Elephas maximus indicus: one gene and its partner. The protein of the gene in region 1 interacts with the protein of each later gene in a biochemical or structural test. Links are inferred from orthologs where the notes say so. Each region holds a gene or a part of one and is shown on either strand. Other genes may lie near its edges.

Region 1 (10,075 bases):
CATCCACATACTCCACTTCCGTACTATAAATGTACAAATTATACTGTAATGTTTTCATAAGAGTAAAGAGCCCTATCTCAGTTTAAAAATATACTTCCAATCAAAATTCTACAAAGCAGAAACACAAAGTTTTCAAGCTATCTCCTACTTCAGAATCATAAGACATCAATATAAGATTTTCCGCACTCCATTTTTAATCATTAGTTGTTTTTGCCTACTTGTGAAAGAAGAAAAGTTATTACTAAATAGTAAAACACTAGAGAGATTATATGTTAGAAGAGGGATCAATTATTTCATAAACAAAAGGCAACTGTTTATATTTCTTGAATTTAACAAAAATTATCATAAATCAATACATCCTGTGGAATTTTTGGTAATAAGATACAAATTGTATCTTTCTACAATTTTTCAGACAATGCAAAACCAGATTAATTTTTATTACCATATGTAACTCTAGCTCGTGTTTTACGAAAAAACAGGTGCAATAAGCTGTGTACAATTTACTATCGGTTGCTGCTAGAAAAACTCAAGTACTTATCTTCTGAGTAACATGTCAGTGAACATAAAGCAATGTTCTGTTACAAGTGCCAACCTATACCAATTGTTAAGGATCTCTCGCCACAAATGTCAATTACCAAACTTGTTCTTCATAGTAATCTGCAGAAAAGATCAAAGTGAGGAGGCATTATGAGCTGCCTCCCTATGAAAACCATTAAATTATTATCACCGAATACATAAAATTCTAGTTTATTGGTCCCTTAAGACTGCTAAAATTACGTTTTTCTTTTTTCAATAAGTAGATTGTTAACCACTATAAAATAAGCACTGAAAATACGTAAAATGTGGACATTTAGGGGGGAAAAAAAAAGGTTATGTCCGTTGCCCTAATGCGAAGCACTCATTTCTAAAATTTTGAATATTATAAACAAAGCAAAAAAACACATTTGCACAAAATGGTTTTTTATATATCAGATTTTCAAAAATAGCATCCCTGGGTGAAAGGAAATAATAAAAGATTCCTCAGTGAACTATAAGAAAAATCAAATTGGTAACTTTCTTACTTTAATGCAGAAATAAATTATATGGGCCCACCATTGTATGTTACCAGCAGAAAAAGTACTCAAATGTGTGTTGAGTGTAAAGACTCCTTTTGTTTCCTCCATGAGACTTTCAGTATTCATCTCCCTCACTTCATGGTAATCATTCATTCATGCTTCTTAATTACACAATACCTTTTAATTAAGCATTATCTATGGAAACCCTAGTGGCATAGTGGTTGAGTGCTACAGCTGCTAACCAAAAGGTCGGCAGTTCGAATTCACCAGGCACTCCTTGGAAACTCTGTGAGGCAGTTCCACTTTGTCCTACAGGGTCGCTAGGAGTCGGAATCGACTCAACAGCAGTGGGCTTGGCTTGGACAGAGCAAGGAACACTGGTGGCACAGTGGTTGAGTGTTCAGATGCTAACTGAAAGGCCAGCAGTTGGGACCCATCAGCAGGAGAATGATATGGCAGTTAGCTTCCATAAATATTTATAGCTTTGGAAACCCTATAGGGTAGTTGTACTCTGTCCTATAGGTGCAGCTGAGTCAAATTCAACTCAATGGCAATGAGTTTGACTTGGTTTGACCTATAGAGCAACGTGTGTTACAGAGCTATTAGTTATAAATGCTTTTAACAGGAAATGGAGGTACCTTAGATCCTAACTTATTGATACCCTTAAGAAAACTCTATAGTTACTACTTACGTTCGGCATACCAAGAGCTAATCGCCCCATTGCTCTTTAATATATCAGCTAGGCTGGGCTGCACAGGGATTTAAAAAATCAAACTAGGGATAACAGGGTAGCAGCAAGGGAAGCAAAATTGCTCTTAATGCTTATGCTAAAAGACTAACCCTTCTTGCATACAAAAGAAACAAACAAAAAAAAACCTCTGCATTCCCAATGTAAAATATGAATAATTATTAAAACAAGTCAGGACATCAATAAATAAATCCTCAATGTAAAATTTCTCTTTTCACTTTTAAAAAATTAATAGAAAGGCCGTTTTAGGAAAGTTTGTTCTATGTTTTGTTATTAAAGTTTTGTTCAAAACCCAATTAACTTATCAGACTTTACACAATTTAAGAGTTGATTTCAAAAGAAAGGGGATCGATGAAAATTTCTATTAAAAATGTAATCAGAAGTTTGTTTTTGAGAGATAAGGCTTATAAAATTTCAAACGAATTGAGAACTAAGCCCCTGGCTAACATAAAAACAAAACCCAGTGCAGAAGACTGAAAATTTATTCTGGTCTCTCTGTTCATCTTTTCAGTTGGCTATTCCGCTTGTTCCACCATCTATTAAATGAGACTTAGAAAGTTTACACTTGGTAGTGCATCAAAGATTACTGTCAATAAAGCACCTGTAAGAACTGTTCCCAAAATGTTAACATTTAAGTCTTTCTTAGTCCAGTTAATAAGTCAGAATAAATATAACAAATACGAGTAGCTAATCGGATCATTACACAATGAAAATATTAACAACGTTCAGAATTACCTAAAGGTTTGCCCTTTAGCTCTGGATGTGAGATCATTTCTACCTGCGCATAAAAGCAATCCAGGTCCACATGTACTATGACTCTGGATGAAGTACTTCCTGTTGGTACCACTTCACAACGACCTGCTGTACAATATGGAAAAATACATTCAGACTTTTTATCATCACAGTTAAGACAGTGCTTAAAACATGGTAACTGACAAGTAAGAAACGAGAGTGCAGACTGGTTTTAAGTTTTTTTCCTTGGATTTATTACACACACCAAAGCATCTAAAAACTACAAAGAAACAGTAAGGAGTATCTGTCCTTTAGGATCACTCCATCATCCTAATACGGTAGGATCTGAGTCTTGTTTACTTACTTAGCATTTCTTTGTGCAGTGCATTTTTCTGAGGGTAGTAATAAACTGAAGAAAAAAAATTTGATCATAATAAAAGAGCTAATGCTATGACGTGGAAATTTACAGTAACATCTAAGACTAAACTGGGACAGTCAGAAATGTCTGAACATCACTGATTTTCCCCCAACTTAAAATTTTTTGTTAAGTGCCATGTCCTTCAATATAAAAAAGAAATCTGAAATGTGAGGAAGCAGAACCTATAGGTTTCAATATTCCCATATTCCTGGAGTCTGGCATATAGTAGACTATCAATAAATATTCACTAAATTCAAAGAATGAGTAAGTATTTCCTGGATTTTAAAATGTAGCTCTTGTCATTGGGAGGACACATGAGATTCCTGCTCTTAACATTTGTTAAATACAAAGCAGGCTAAATGGAACACGGTCCTCTGGTTTGGATCCCGGAAGGGAAAAGGAACATTAGCGGAAAAAAGAGTGAAATCTGAAGAAAAAAGTATGTAGTTTAGTTAATAGTATTAGGCCAAAGTTCATTTCTTGGCTTTGACAAATGTACCATAGTGATGTTAAGATGGAAACACTAGGAGAATTTGGGTGAAGAGATACAAGACTCTGTACTATCTCTACAACTTTGTGTGAACGTACAACTACGCCCCCTCTTCCCCACTACGGGGAAAAAAATAAAAAAGAGGGCAGGGAGGAGCGTCTTTTCCCCTCCTGACCCTAGGGTTGGCCGGTAAAAAGTAGGGCCCGGAAGCTGGACACGAGTACCCTGTGAGGAGACCACTATATACATGCTGCCTTCTCGGTTCCATCCCGAACCAGTCCTTCCCGCCCAGGCTGCGGCCGGGGCCCAACCTCTGCTAAGGGAGGGACAAGGCTCTCAACCTTCCCAACCTTGAACCGCCTGGGAGCCTATTCAGCTTTCGTTCGACTGGTGGCGGGTATTTTCTTTCCCCACGGGGAGGCGGAGAAAGGCACAAATGTACCCTCGATTAACAGGTTGACGAGCCCTACCCTACTACTCCGAGGCGAAGCCATCCTCTCGGGGGTCCTAGTCGCTAAATACCAGACAAGCTAGGGCAGTTCTCTCACGGTGGGGCGGGCAAGACAAAGGCAGCCGAAAGGGGAGGGGACGGTCGCGCCCCAACGGGCACCGCCGCCCAGCCCCTCCCATTTACACCCAGGAAGGCCACTGAGCTCTTCAGGCCCCGGCGCACCCTGCGAGCCGCCTGCCGCCTCCGCGTCCGCGTCCGCGTCCGTCGGCTCCATGCCTCGGAACGCACCCAGTTCCTCTTCGCAGCCACCTTCCTCCTCGGGCACCACCCCCAGCTTCTCCATCCTACCGAGACCAACTGCAGCGCAACTTCCGGCCGCTTCCGCCCGGTCACCGGGCAACCGTGGGCCGACTGTTCCCCATCCGCCTCAGTCCACGCGCCTGCGCGATGGCGGCCGACCTATCTTTTGCCCGGAGTTGCACTCCGGCGTGGGAATCGGCTCGGGCTCCGGTGCTGGAGGCCTCGCCGGCTAAGTGGAGGCCGGAAGTGAGAGTTTGAAATGCCAAAATCCTAGATTTTGCTTGAGGCTGTCATACTTCGGCATGCAGCACAAATTCAAAATTTTTGTTTTTGCTGAGACCAGCCCGTTCTCCTGATCAACAGTTAACAGAATTGCTAACACCAAAAAAAAAAATAATAAAATTTTTTTTTTTTTTTGTTAGACACTGGAAGGACCCCTGGTGGCGCAGTGGTTAAGAGCTATGGTGTACTCTTATGCAATGGGCCCAGAAGAGGACCTAAATGTAAAGACCCTAAAGGGTTAGGTTTCTCAATGCGTGTTTGTTTCCTAACTTTATTGAGGTATAACTAAAGTACAACAAACGAAACACATTTAAAGAGTACAAATTGATCAGTCTTAACAAAAGTATGCACCATAAGATAGTAAATATTCCCCCATCAGCCTCAAAATTTCCTTATGCTCCCTCCCTGGAGAACCACTGATCTGCTCTCTCTCCTTAAGCCAAAAAGAAAAAAAAAAAACACCATATAGGACAGAGTAGAACTGTCCCACAGGGTTTCCAACGAGCACCTGGTGGATTCCAACTGCACATCTTTCGGTTAGCAGCTGCAGCTCTTAACCACTACACCACCAGGGTTCTGTTCTCTCCTTATAGATTTGTTAATATTTTCTGAATTTTATATAAGTGGAATCATATGGTATGTGCTCCTTTTTGCCTGGCTTTTTCACTCAGCTAATTTAATATTCAGCCATGTTGTGGGGGAATATCAAGAGTCCATTCTTTTTTATTGCTGAGTAATATACCACTGTATGAGTGTACCACACTTTATCTGTTCACCTATTGATGAATGTTTGGATCATTTTCAATTTTTTACCATTACAAACAAACCTGCTATGAGCATTCGTTTAGCACATGTTTTCATTTTCTTGGATAAGTTTGAATGGCTTATAGTTTATATGTATCTTTTAAAGAAACTGCTAAATGGTTTTCCAAAATTACTACACCATTTTGCTTTCCCGCCAGTGGTGTATGAGTTTCCCAGTTGCTTTACATTCTGATTTACACTTGGTATAGTAAGTTTTTAAAAAATTCTAGTCTTTATAATGAGTATGTAGTGGCATCGCATTGTGGTTTTAAGCTGTATTTCCCTGATGACTAATGATGTTAACCATCTTTTCATGTGTTTACTGGCTATTTGTATGTCTTCTTTTGTGAAGTGTCTGTTCAAATTTTCTGCCCATTTTATTGCTGAGTTGTCCAATGTGTTTTTTAAGAATGTCTCTGGGGGAAAACTTGGCATCAAAACTCCATTTCCTCATGTTCAACGTTTAGGCTCAGGATATGGTAAGCCAACCACTTTGATCTCTACTAAATTCTAGGGGACTGCTGCGTTTTTCTCTGCATAACAATCCGTTCTGTGCTACTTGATCTAATTATCTGTTACGTTAGTTGACCTCCATCTCTATACTTCGTGTGAGGGTACTCTAAAATTGAGGTGCTTGGCATGATTAAAAATGACTGACCTAGGAGTGTGCTGTCACATTATAGGGAGAGCAAGTAGGTTCACATGACAATGTGTATATAAGATTTTGTATGAGAAGCTGACTTGAATCGTAAACTTTCACTTACAGCACAATTAAAAAAAAATGACTGACTTAGGTCTGAACCATAGTTCCATTTTTTAATTAAACTTCAGTCTATTCTAAGTCCTCCTTTCTGCCTTTTTAGAAACTGTGACATCTAGCTTCTTGTGAAACTTTAACCACCCTCAGCAAACAATGGAAGGGGTGAAAATGTGGTTTGTGAAGACATGTTTGTCAATAAATGTTTCTCAGGTTGGTCCTGGGAGAATGTTTGCACAGCCTATCTCAGGAAAAACGTATAGGTAGAAAGTCTGTGTTAGAAAACAGATCAGCTAACCCTGTAAGATTTTAGCTTGCTATTGTCCTGTAGCCATGTGTAAACCCAAGCTTCCATGATTATAGTTGTGTACTCCCTACCCCACTTTATTGTATAATAGGCTTGTACCTCTTCCAATGAATTGGAGCACTTTGCAATTTTGCTGAAGTGCTGCCAGATTCCAATCTTTATATTCCTTCAATAAAACTCTTTTCCTTTTCCTTTTAACAGGCTAAGGACTTTTACTCTTTGACAACTTATATCCTTCTTGCCAGGGCAGTGCACATTCAGTTACTACTTGATGCCCTCTTCATTTCACATACCCTGTGGTAGATACTTGTCTTGGATATCTAGTGCTGCTGTAACAGAAATGCCACAAGAGGATGGCTTTAACAAAAGAGAAGTTTATTCTGTCACAGTCAGTAGGCTAGAAGTCCGAATTCAGGGCACCAGCTCCAGGGGAAGATTTTTTCTCTGTTGGCTCTGGAGGAAGGTCCTTGTCATCAGTCTTCCCTTGGTCTGGGAGCATCTCAGCACAGGAACCTCAGGTCCAAAGGATGTACTCTGCTCCCAGTGCTGATATCTTGGTGGTATGAGGTTCCCATGTCTCTCTGTTCACTTCTCTCTTTTATATCTCAAAAGAGATTGGCTTAAGACAGTACCTAATCTTGTAGACCTCACCAATATAACTGCCACTAATGCACCTTATTACATCATAGTAATAGGATTTAGAACATATAGGAAAATCACATAAAATGGTGGACAATCACATAAAATGGTAGACAATCACATAATACTGAGAATCATGGCCCAGCTAAATTGACATGTATTTTAGGGGAACACAATTCAATCCATGACAATATTGTTATTGAAGACATGAGCACTAGAATTGGCGCAGGACTGCTGAAACCCCCCTTGGAATCAATGTGAAATGGGAGTGTTTTTTGTGTGTGTTTTGTGCTTATGGGTTATCCTTCTAGAAAGAGCATGTCAATTTAAATGGGAAATCTTTCTCTAAATGTATCATTAAATGGAACTAGGTGTTGTGGGGAGCCCTGGTGGCACAGTGGTTAAGATCTTGGCTGCTAACCAAAAGGTTGGCAGTTTGAATTCAACAGCTGCTCCTTGGAAATTCTATGAGGCAGTTCTATAGGGTCGCTATGAGTCAGAACTGACTTGACAGCAAAGGGTTTGTTTGTTTGTGTTTTGATTTTAATCTTTATGGAAGCAGACTACCACGTCTTTTCTCAAGACGTTTTGGTTAGCAGCCAAGAGCTTTAACCACTCCACCACCAGGACTCCTTACTCTATAGACAGCGACTGATAATCCCTTACTCTAAATCTTCAATAGCTGTCTCCAAGATGAATTGTATGCATAATTGGGCTTTGAAATCAATATTGTTTGATAAAACAAAATACAGATAAAAAGATGGAGGCATATCCAAAATAACAATAGTGTCTGTTTCTCTGAGGAGCCAATCTGGCTCAGTGGTTAAAGTGCTTGACTGCTAACTTAGCAGTTCGAATCCACTGGCTACTCTGTAGGAGAAAGCTTGGCAGTCAGCTTCCATAAATATTTACAGCCTTGGAAACCCTATGGGGCAGTTCGACTCTGCCCTATAGAGTTGCTATGAGTTGGAAAAGACTCAATGGCAATGATTTTGGATTTTTGGTTTTTTATCTGTTTCTCCAAGGTATCTGGGTGGCACAAATGTTTTGTGCCTGACTACTCACCTAAAGGTCAGTAGTTTAAATGGCCTGGCAATCTGTTTCTGTAAAGATTACAGTCAAGAAAAACTCATGGAGCAGTTCTACTCTGTTAACACATGGGGTCACCATGAGTCAGAAGCAATTCAACAGCAACGGGTTATCTGTTTTTCCAACTCTTACAGGTTTGGTGGGGATGAGGGGATTTAAACCGCTGCTTTTCAACGTTTGAATAATGAAGAGGGCTTTTACTCCACTCTCCCAGAGGCACTATATTTATTTCTCTCTCTTCATCTCCATTTTGCTCTTCTCCAAGGCAAGAGTAGATATTTATGTAATTCGGGAGGTGAGAAGAGTCTGACAATTATAAGGCCAGCTGGAGTGAATGGTGCTGTGGCCCAACCTTTCCAGTCCTTATTGGGTCTCCCAGAAGCCTTGCGGGTTCACTGTGCTTCCAGGTTCTAATCAGTACACTGACAGGTGTGGTCTGCCTCTTACAGGCCCTGACAGGCCTCTGTTCTCTTAGAAGCAGTTTTTTACCCTGACGGTGGGAAAGTCTAGCTGCCTGTTCACTTTTTTCCCTCCAAAAATCTAATTTTTGCCACTAATAAAATTGAGAATCAAAACATCTTCTACCTCCTTGGATCTATTTCTTAGTAGAAACTAGTGGAAACTTGAGCTTTAAGGGAAAAAAAAAAGCTTTCACTGACATTTAAAAGTGTGGCTCCATTCTGTTCCCTTCACAGACGCATTGCTAAGTTCAGAGGATACATATATGGTGTGGTTCATGGGAAATTTTGTTTGTTACCCCACCCACTCCATACATGCCTTCAAGACCAGACTCCCTCCTCTCCGCCCCCGATACTTAAGTACTGACGCACCTTGTAAAAAGGTAGACGTAAACATTTGCTGAGACATGCAAAAAACAAAGGAAAGCATAAGTAAAAGAAACAGTAAATGTTAAGGCAAAAAGGACTGATTCAAAAGTGTTATATAGAAATATAGGCTGATAATATGACACTAATGTGAGACTCTGCCTCAGCAATTTTCCTGAATAATTGATAAAGGTGACTCAGGAAAAGGTGACTACTGGAGCAAGTATATAATGCCAACAAATCTGATTTGTTTCAAAAGCATATACCTTCTAGAACTTTTACTTACTGAGTTAAAGCACATATACTATTTTTATGGTATCCATTTTTCTCCTAATACTGTATTTTCTTGGTGATCATGATCTTAACGATAGTAGTTTTGTCAACCACAGTACTCTTCAGGAACATAACCTCCATAATTGATGAAGGATTACCATAGTACTGTTATATTTGGGAGAAAAGTTATTAAAAAAATTTTTTAAAGAAAAAAATTAAAATCTGATTGGAAAAGACTTTTGAATTCTATTGATGAGTTCCTGAAATTTGTCTCAGATACCTAAAAACAGATTAATAATAACCTAATATTGACTTTATCCTTGTCATGTTTAAACTTCCATGATTAGTGAGCCAGTTGGAGGCATAAACTCAGATGGGCACTCAATATTTTTCAGTTTTATTATAAACATTGTCTATAAAAATACTTATAAAATCCTGAATCTGGCCACTCAAAACTTCCCTGAGAACAGTGGATTAACTCTGGTATATGAGATTGCGGGATCTCTAACCCTGACAGGAATTTTGGAGACCTTTTTAGTTCTATCATCCTAGGGCAATTGCCTTGAGTTTAACAGATTTCAGTCTTTTCTCTTATTGGAACCTGTTAGTACTTCCTCATATAATACATTTCAATAAAATTTTTTAATTAAATAAGGTATGGAGTGAATACTTTTGCTGTCAGGACAGTTCAAAAATCTTCTTAGGTTTGTGAGCTCCAAATATTGCCCAACTTCATACTTCTTAAATTCCATCAATGAGATTTTTTTTTTTAATGGACTCAGAGTAGATTCAACCCAATCTTCAATAGGGTAGTCTTCCAACACCCAACACTATAGATGAATTAATTTGTTACCTACTTCATCTAAAAGTTATGCCAATATCCTCTTCAATAATTGCAAGTCTAAA
Region 2 (9,816 bases), on another chromosome or scaffold:
CTAAGCCAGACACAGCCAGACACGAAAGGACATATATTGCATGATCCCATTTATGTGAAATATCTAGAATAAACAAATGCATAAAGACAGAAAATAGATTAGTGGATACCATGGGCTGGGAAGATAGGGGAATAGGGACTTATTGCTTAATGGGTACAGAGTTTCTGTTTGGGGTGATGAAAAAGTTTTGGAAATGAAGAGTGATGGTGGTTGTATAACTCTGTGAGTGTGATTACAGCCACTGGATTGTATACTTGAAAACGATTAAAATGGCAAATTTTATATTGTGTATATTTTACCACAAAAAAAAAAAAAGGATACCTAATCCAATGTGCCATTCTTCCATCACAGAGTCACCATGAGTACACTGGGACCTAACGAGAGTGAAACAAGCATTTTCTATACTACTGACAGAATAAATTGGTTCAGTTTTAGGAAGATAATAAGTATAAAGGCCTAAAAATACCTACCTCCCCAAAGAAATGAACACTTCACAAAAGAAAATATACAAACATCCAATAAGCCCATGAAAATGGGTTCAAATCATTAATCTGTTGCCGTCGCGTCAATTCCAACTCAGAGTGACCCCATAGGACAGAGGAGAACTGCCCCGTAGGGTTTCCAGGGGCGGCTGGTGGATTAAAACTACCAACCTTTGGTTAGCAGCTGAGCTCTTAACAACTGTGCCACCAGGGCTCCCGACATCATTAGTCATGGGCCAATGCAAATTAAAACCACAATATACATCAATAGGGGAATAGAGCCAACAGCTAATCTAGCTGATAGACAGAACTTAAGTATAAGTTCAGGGAAAAGAGAAGCAGAAAATGATATACAACATCTTAACATTTATGTAAATACTTTAACGTCTTATTTTGAAATAATTTTAAACTTACTGAAAAGTGACAAAAATAGCAGGGTTTCCATAAACATAGTTTCCCCTAATGTTAACATTTTACACAGCACAATTATCAAAACTAAAAAAAAAGAACATTATTGGTATAATATTATAAATTCAACTACATGCTTTATTTGGATTTTACAAGTTTTTCCACAAATGTCCTTTTTCTGATCCAAGACTCCATCTAGGATCCTGCACAGCATTTAGTCATCATGTCTCCTTAGTTTCTTCCAATCCATATACTTTCTCAGTCAGTCTTTGTTTTTCATGACCTTTACACTTTTGAAGAGTACCGGTCAGTTATTTGGAGAAGGTCTCAATAAGATTTTGTCTGATCTTTTCCCACATTTATAATGAGGTTATGCATTTTTTGGCAAGCTTTTCTAAGTGTATCGAACCAGGAGTCTTGCCTTCCAGTAGGAGATCTGGGTTCAGTCTCCAGCTGGTGCACCTCAAGTGTCATTGGAGGCTTGCGTATTTCTATGATGCTGAACAGGTTTCAGTGGAGCTTCCAAACTAAGACACACTAGAAAGAAAGGCCTGGTGACCTACTTCTGGAAAATCAGCCCCTGAAAACCCTATGAATCACAATGGTCTGATCCAATTGTGCATGGGGTTTCCATGAGTCAGGACCACTTGTAGGCAGCTAACAACAAGGTAGTGTTCCCTGGATTTGTCACTGAAAAGTTACTATTTTTCCTTTTGTAACTAATGATCATCTTGAAGGAGATACTTTGAGACTATGATAATATCCTACTTCTCCTCAAACTTTCACCACTAATTTAACCACTCATCAGTGGATCTTGCTGTAATAATCATTATTGTAGTGTTCTAATGGTGATTTTCTACCCATTTATGTAAACTTTGAACACAAACAATACTGCACACTGTTCGCAGATACACACATAAACAAAGAAATGGATGGTAGTTGGAAGAATACACCCTACATATTTGAGGGAGGGTACAGACTAATGTTATCATCTAACATTGTTACTGATCTGGAAGAAGGAATAAAAGTAAAGCAGTGGCTCCCAAACTTTGTTGCACATTGGAATCATTTGGGAACTTTTAAATAATACCGATGTCTGGTTTCCACCCACAGAGATTCTAATTTAATTGGTATGGGGTGCTTCCTGGGCATTGTGATTTTTAAAAACTCCCCTGGGCATTTCTAATATGCAGCAGAATTTGAAAACCACTAACTTAAAGTAAATAAGATACCTATGGAAACAAACACCAGTAACTGATGATTTAAATTTGAGAAACAGGCTATACAGTTGAGCAAGCACCCAACTGTATTCTTAAAAAAGCCTGTAAAAAATTGACATACACCTTGAAAAAAAAGTGTCACACAATTACAAAGCTGGAACAAGTGGAAAGAGCAACAAAGAATGAAGAAAATCAGAGTATTCAAGGCATTAATTCCTTATAAATTCCTATTGACCACTCATCTAAAACAGGCAGAATGTGATACTTTAAACATGTGTAAGTTAAAACCACAGCATGTGAGAAATTTCTTTATTTTGTATTGGCTTTTATGTAGTACTGGAACAGATAATGCCTGAGTAAAAATAGTAAATGCATTGTAACAAAAACAGCACAGCCCAAAGTATCATATTAGATACAAATATCAGAACTGGAGTGTGCATAGGAAGCAGTGATTTAAGCCCAGTGAACATTTTAGTGAGTACAGAAACAGATATGCAGGCTTTAACAGATAATGAAGATGTTGAGGTGTTCAGTTTATGTATTTTGGTGGAGAAAGCAAGAGCTTTTTAAGGATGGAAAATGAAACACACTCTACCAAAACCATGCTTTGGGAACGAGAATTACGCTACTTTGAAATCGTATATATAGCAAATTGTCAATACCACACGAACCTTCAATAATTGTAATTATTCATCTTTAAATATCTAGAGTCATTCCAATATGTACAAAACAAGTTTGGTGCCTATGAAATGATGACATATCCAGGAAAGTAAGTACAAGTGAAGAGGGAGATTTAAGAGTTATAGCGAAAAATATTTTTTCTAAAAGAAAAATCCCCTTAGAGGACAATACCAGGGCCTTAACTACGTTTCTATTTTCACGTAACTTAGGCCCCCCCCACCCAAAAAAATTGGGGGGGGGGCTAATTTTGTTACCAGCCTCTGCTGTATCACAAAACCAATAGCCAAGGCAGCATGAAAAGTCTAAAAACATTGATACTGCACAATTCTAAACTCTCTTACCAGTGTGATAAACACCTGGCAGAACTGTCAACGGCGGAAGCCGCAGTTGCTGGGTTCGGAGTCCACTGGAAGGGAGATGAAAGGGTCTTGAATATCTTGTCGCCTTTCCAGGACCAGTCCAGTTGTTCGAGAGAGATCTATTCCCAGTGTCGACAGAGAAATGGGCCAAGGGTCGCGAAGGATCCTTGCCCGGGCAGGCGCCCGCACAGCCAGGAGTGTGGTTCAGCCAAGATCTAGGCGCTAAGCCGCAAGCCCTTCTGACAGATGATCAGACTGCGCGCACTCCGATAAGGACCGTTGACGCGCCTGCGCACCGCGACCCTTCCGTCGCCCGCTCCGCCCACCGCAGTAAACGTCACAAGGCTGCCGCCACTTCCGTGGGCGCGTGCGCACTGGCGGCTCGGGCGCGTGCGCAGCGCCGGCACCTTCCTGGCTCGAGCTTCAGCAGCTCACGCTCCTCCCCCCGTTCCCCATCCCCCAGCCCAGCGCGGCCCGGTACCAGCTTGTGGTGCCGCCAAGGGAGCCGTCCGTGCCTCGTGCTCTCAGGACGGCCGCGTTGCGCGCTGGCGGCGCGTGGCGCTAGCCATGGAGATGGATCAAGTGAACGCGCTGTGCGAGCAGCTGGTGAAAGCGGTGACGGTCATGATGGACCCCAGCTCCACCCAGCGCTACCGGCTGGAAGCCCTCAAGGTAGCCGGGGTCCTGGCGCCCCCGGGCCTGGTCCGAGACCCTCCCCTGACCCCGACTCCCCCGGCCCCGGTCCCCTGGACCTCCTTCCCCAACCCTTGGGGGGGCCTTCCCTGGCGGCGGTCCACGCCTCTCCCTCCCCCGCCTTCACTGCTCGCCGCGCTTGCCCTTCGTCCCTCCGTTTTCCTCACGCAGGCTGCGCTCCAAATCCCGCATCTCTTCGCCTTCCGGTGGCGCACGTGTTGATCCCGCCCCCAACACCAATCTCTTTCTTTAGAGTTTTCCCTGCACTAAACGTTTCGCTACTGATACACTCTCCTGATCCATCCTAACCAAGCTCCAGTCCACCTAGTACACCTTTACTTACATCCATACACCTCTCGCTGACCCCTCTTCTGTGTCTTGGGCATTTCTGGGCTAGTTCTTACGCGCCCCACGTTTTTTAGTGTGTGATAGTCTTGAGCAAAGATGAACTTCTACCGCTTACTTTGCATTTTAACAAGGGCACTTGGGTTTCCTGAAAGTAGTTTTCTTGAGTCCCGGATGCTTTGGTCCTGGTACTGACTCATGTGTTACAATTCCGGAATCCTAGTACAAATGGGGATGTTATTAGAAAAAGAGCTTATACCCCTATCAAACAATGTTTGTGAGCTCTGAGAAATGGCTGCTTAGAAAAAATATTTGTGCTGTATATATTTTAAGTGTGCAATTTCATAAAATAGCGCCAGTTGGAGGAAACTTTACAGTAGATGGATGTATGCGCCAGGGTTTGAAATAAAAAACAACTGGCTTCTATTAGTCTGTTTTTTGTTATGGAATATTTAAAACAGACATGAAAAGTAGAGATAATACTGCAGTGACTCCTGGGTATACTCATCACCTAAATTCTGTACTTTTAAGTTCTAAATACAGCAGGATTTGTTGACGTATAACAAATCCTAGAAATTGTCATTTCACTTTTATGTACTGCAGGGGTATATCGTTAACAATTTTTTTTTACTCCTTTAGGTCATTTTTTTTTTTTTTAATATTAGTAAGGCCGTACCATGGAAAATCTGGAACCATCAGAGTGAAAGAAATGTTTATCATTTCTTTACTCATACAGTAGTAATCTAGATTTGATCAGATTAGAATTTCTTAGAACGAAGCTTATTTAGTCTCCACACTGTCTTAACGCCCAAGAGAAACACTAACTTTTTATTTTTCAGTTTTGTGAAGAGTTTAAAGAAAAGTGCCCTATTTGTGTCCCGTGTGGCCTGAGGCTGGCTGAGAAAACACAAATTGCCATCGTCAGGCATTTTGGCCTTCAGATCCTGGAACACGTTGTCAAGTAAGGCATTTTACGAGTTTACCACTGAAGTATGTAAGAGAGCAAATCTTTATTTCTTGGATAACTCAGAGGTGTTCTTTAAAAACTTGTTGCCGTGGAGTGGATTCCAACTCATAGCCACCCTATAGGACAAAGCAGAACTGCCCCACAGGGTTTTCAGTGCTGTAAATCTTTATGGAAGCAGACTGCCACATCTTTCTTCCTTGGACTGGCTGCTAACGTTTCAGTTAGTAGTCACGTGCCTCCAGGGCTCCCTAGATGTTCTTTAAGTAAGCAGAATAGAGCATTCTTCAAGGGAAAAAGGAATAATACCCAGAATTATCAGATCCTCCAGGGAATTCTCATTCAAGACTGAACCTTTCTGCTCTTCAATTTCTTCATCCTGTAAAGTGCCTGCTACATACTAAGCATTCAAAAAATAATAGCTGCTAGTCACTCACCCAGCATTTATTGAATATCTATATATGCCGGCAGATCTCAAAGCCTCTTTAGGATTATACAGTGTATAAAACCCAAACCAAACCCAGTGCCATTGAGTCGATTCTGACTCATAGCGACCCTATAGGACAGAGTAGAGCTGTCCCATAGAGTTTCCAAGGAGCACCTGGCAGATTCGAACTGCCGACCCTGTGGTTAGCAGCTATAGCCCTTAACCACTACACCACCAGGGTTTCCATACTGCGTATAGATAAATAAATTTGTGATTGGACATTACTTTTGATTTTCTTTTCTTTTACGTTTTGAGTGTGTACCGTCTCTGAATGGCACTTCCAAAGCAATATTATATGTGAATAACTGAAAACTCCTCCAATGCCTATCACAGAAATCCATTTTTAAGACTTAGCCTCAGGTTTTCTGGAATTGTGCTGTTATTACCTTGTAAACCAGCGTAATAAGGTAGTTGGTGTTATCAGATTGTGTTTTCTGGAAAAAACGACTATATTGTAGTTGTCCCAGATGTATATTTGTTTTCAGTCTATTAATAAAATCATGGGGGAAGCTGATGTGTGCATAAATCCTATGTGAATTCCGGTTAATGGAGTGCTGTATATATAAACCCCTGGAATTTTTCTGTTTCTAGCATTTTGGTTAAATGTGGACTATTTTTGCCCATTCTTTGAAGGGTACAAAATCAAAAGTATAATTTTCTAATGAAATTGCCAACATAATCTAACACAGGAATCAAAACTAGTTTCTTCTGAAGAGAAGCCTTCTAATGGGTTCTGTTTCTGACTTTCTCTTTTTTGGTGGCCAGGTTTCGATGGAACAGCATGTCTCGATTGGAGAAAGTATACCTGAAGAACAGTGTCATGGAGCTGATTGCAAATGTAAGGAATGGTTGGTTGGAAGACTTGTGTTTCCAAGGTAGTTTAGACAAAACATGACTTCTTCAATTTAACATTTGCATAAAAATTCACTGGTTCTATGTAGGTCAAAGAGCATGTTTGGTGTAATGTTAAATGTGTACCTTTAAGGTAGAAGGACTACCATTAACAAGAAATCATAATTCATTACATTTAACCAAAAAATACCAAACCCAATGCAGTCAAGTCAATTCCCACTCATAATGCCCTTACAGGACAGAGTGGAACTGCCCCATAGGGCTTCGAAGGCTGTAAATCTTTACGGAAGCAGACTGCCCCATCTTTTTCCTGTGGAGCAGCTTGTGGGTTCAAACTGCCCACCTCTCAGCAGCTTAACCACCTTTCCATCAGGGCTCCCAAACTTCTCTTACTAGATTTAATTTCATCCCTTACGTGCTGGCTTCTGTTTTTAAAATATAAAGATAGGACAGAAGAGATTAAACATTTTCAGCAAATGAATGGATTCATAGGTTTAAAAGATTAAAACTTTGCTGTTTGTTATCTTTTATTCCAAACTGTACTGTATGATACTAGTAATAAAAATATGTAGAATGAATTGTTTCCCCAGTTAGAAGATGACTTTAAATGTTTAAAGTCTATAGCCTTTTTTCTTTCCTTTCTTTTAAACAAAAGGGTATGAAAGATGGAGTCCCTACCCCTTTTCATCTCCAAAATCTAGTGTCTTCAATAGAAAAAAAAAAAGCTTTTATAATTACTGATTAACTTATTTAGCTAATACTTTTTTAGTGCTGTTTCTGGGGCGACAATAGAAATCATACTTCCTTAGTCTTGACATTTTCAAACTTCAGAATAAGAGAAACCTAGTGATAATCTTTCTGTATCTTCTAATACTGTAACTGTTGGTAAAATATTAATTGCATCTCCAGACCCTCCAGTTTTAACATTCTCTCAGCATACTCTTGTTCCTTATTTCTATACTTTTCTGTTGTGACGCTCTCAAAAAATGAAACAATCTATATGAGAGTTTCTTCGTTTTGAAGGGAGAGCTGTGATGTCTTCCTTGCTCTTCAGCGGCATTTTATTAGTGGTACAACCCTCACTTAAGCTTTACGTGGGAAGAATGATTAGAGGGAATGCAGGGTAAGTGACTCAAACATGATGAACAGGTTTGTTTGTTGTACTTAGTTTAAAAGCAGGCCTGCTCATGAGTTTTATATACTTTTACAGCCCGGTGTTCCTTAAATTCGATCTTGCAGATCTCTCAGTATCTCTCATTCTTTTTCAGGGAACATTAAACATTTTGGAAGAGGAGAACCACATTAAAGATGTTCTGTCTCGCATCGTAGTAGAAATGATCAAGCGAGAGTGGCCACAGCATTGGCCTGACATGCTAATAGAATTGGATGCTCTTTCCAAACAAGGGGTATGAAGAATGGATAAATCAATTCAATATACTGTTCTGGAATCTTCAAATTTTTTATACTGTCTTTTTTTTGGTGGGGGGGTGAGAGTCAGCATTTTAATTTAATTTAACTAGCTTATTTCTGTTGGCATAGGAAACACAGACAGAATTAGTGATGTTCATCCTTTTGCGACTGGCGGAGGATGTGGTGACCTTTCAGACACTTCCCCCTCAAAGAAGAAGGGATATCCAGCAAACATTAACCCAGAACATGGAAAGGATCTTCGCTTTTCTACTTAACACACTTCAAGAAAATTTAAACAAGTACCGGCAAGTGGTAAGGGATACCCTACCCCAAGAAAGTCCTATTTCCTAACGTGAGTGGCTTTTTTCTTTGTTTTTTAAGAAACTAATCCTTCAACAAGGAGCTAGAGTGCCTGCTTTAGCAAAAGAAAAGGCCATTTTGTAAGTAAAAAAGAACCTGGTAGATCATGGGAAAAATGAATTAATTTTCTAACAAATTCAGTTCATTGAGTTTCTTTGCTAGTAAAAATTTCTTTTATAGTAGGAAAAAAAAACTTAAAATAGTTTAAAAATAAAGGCTATTTGTTACTATTTGAAAATCCGGGTTTCTGTTGGTCAAGGTAGTATCGTTATTAAATGTGATAGTCCTGATTTCTTTTGCAGTGGACACAACTGTGCACCACCGAGTTTATTAATGTCAACTGCAGCGATCCCTTGGTATTTTCATTCTTCCTTTTTCTTCTGCAGCAAAGGACAAGTGAGATACTGTCTTACCCAACTATTTTCGTTTTAGCAGGGACCCTTCAGAAGAAGGCAGTTTGAAAGTTAATCTAGCACAGTAGTTCTCAAGCAGGGGCAGCTTTGCCGCCCAGGGAACATTGGGCAATGTCTCTAGACATTTTGGTTGTTACAACTGGGGGTTGCTCCTGCATCTAGTGGGTTTAGACAGTGATGCTTCTAAATATCTTACAATGTACAGGACAACCTCCTACAACAAAGAATTATTCAACACCAAATGTCAATAGTACTGACTTAGCATTCTCATAAGTACTTATTTCACAAATTGTATTACTAGACTTGGTTATTTTTTATGCCCATGGCAGCCTCATTAGGTCTATTTTCAGAGAAATGGTAGGTACTAACTGAACTGTCAGATGATGAGGAAAAGACTGTGAGTTTGGTGAGGAGGAAGAAGGGGAAGAACTCAGAGTGAGTACGTGACATATGCCATATACTTGTTTGGCATTTTATATGTTACTTAAACATCAAAACAATGCCAGGAGTCAGAAAATGTCATCCCAGTTTTATAGTTGAGGAAACCAAGGCTCAGCATAATTATTGAAAATCTTCTGTCTAATAAATGGTTGAGCTGGAGTTCAAGCCTTTTTTTTTGTTGTTGTTGTTATATGTACTCTTTACCCAGAATATCTTAAAATATTCTTAAAAAGGTAATATCAAGAAAAAACTCGCACTTAAAAATGTGTGTTGAGGATTAGGGAGATACTCTTTGATTTTCCCTGATTTAACTCCTGGGAGGAGGGAAACAGTTGTCACATAGAGGAGACCTGCCCTGTTAAATGGACAGACTTCTTTGGGAAATGGTCAGATTCTCAAGTGTGTTTTATAGTCTTAAGTAGCAAATGAATAGTGGCAGTGGCTTAGTAAATATATATATAAATCTTGTATGTATGTATTAGTAAGTATGTATATATTTTTTAATGTAAGAATCTTTTTGATTGGGAAGTTTTAACATTCCACAGAAAAGATTCTTCAACTCTGTAGAATAGCAGCTTCTTTGAGTATCATCTGCATAAGATGAATTGAGAGATGACTCTTAGGAATTTCTGAAAATTGATGTGGTATTGGTAGAATACTAAAGGAGTTCGGATGTGTAGAGCTATAACCATTTTGAAGAT

Evidence for each region.
Region 2: the proteins of POLI (region 1) and POLH interact in far-western blotting, tested with the Homo sapiens proteins (2 studies listed by BioGRID). The link is inferred for Elephas maximus indicus from reciprocal best matches to the Homo sapiens genes POLI and POLH.

Annotation. Positions count from the first base shown.
Region 1 is NC_064829.1:62,856,439-62,866,513, reverse strand, and holds the start of POLI (DNA polymerase iota), read right to left. Parts: upstream 4,248-10,075; 5' UTR 4,238-4,247; coding exon 4,117-4,237; intron 4,106-4,116; exon of another isoform or gene 3,914-4,105; intron 2,919-3,913; exon of another isoform or gene 2,907-2,918; coding exon of another isoform or gene 2,900-2,906; intron 2,665-2,899; coding exon 2,539-2,664; intron 1-2,538. UniProt on the Homo sapiens protein: Error-prone DNA polymerase specifically involved in DNA repair. Plays an important role in translesion synthesis, where the normal high-fidelity DNA polymerases cannot proceed and DNA synthesis stalls. Favors Hoogsteen base-pairing in the active site.
Region 2 is NC_064819.1:108,005,760-108,015,575, reverse strand, and holds the start of POLH (DNA polymerase eta), read right to left. Parts: upstream 4,277-9,816; 5' UTR 4,187-4,276; intron 3,823-4,186; coding exon of another isoform or gene 3,718-3,822; exon of another isoform or gene 3,133-3,717; intron 1-3,132. Other genes in the region: XPO5 (exportin-5), read left to right, coding at 3,718-3,822, 5,028-5,149, 6,405-6,477, 7,760-7,897, 8,031-8,213. UniProt on the Homo sapiens protein: DNA polymerase specifically involved in the DNA repair by translesion synthesis (TLS). Due to low processivity on both damaged and normal DNA, cooperates with the heterotetrameric (REV3L, REV7, POLD2 and POLD3) POLZ complex for complete bypass of DNA lesions.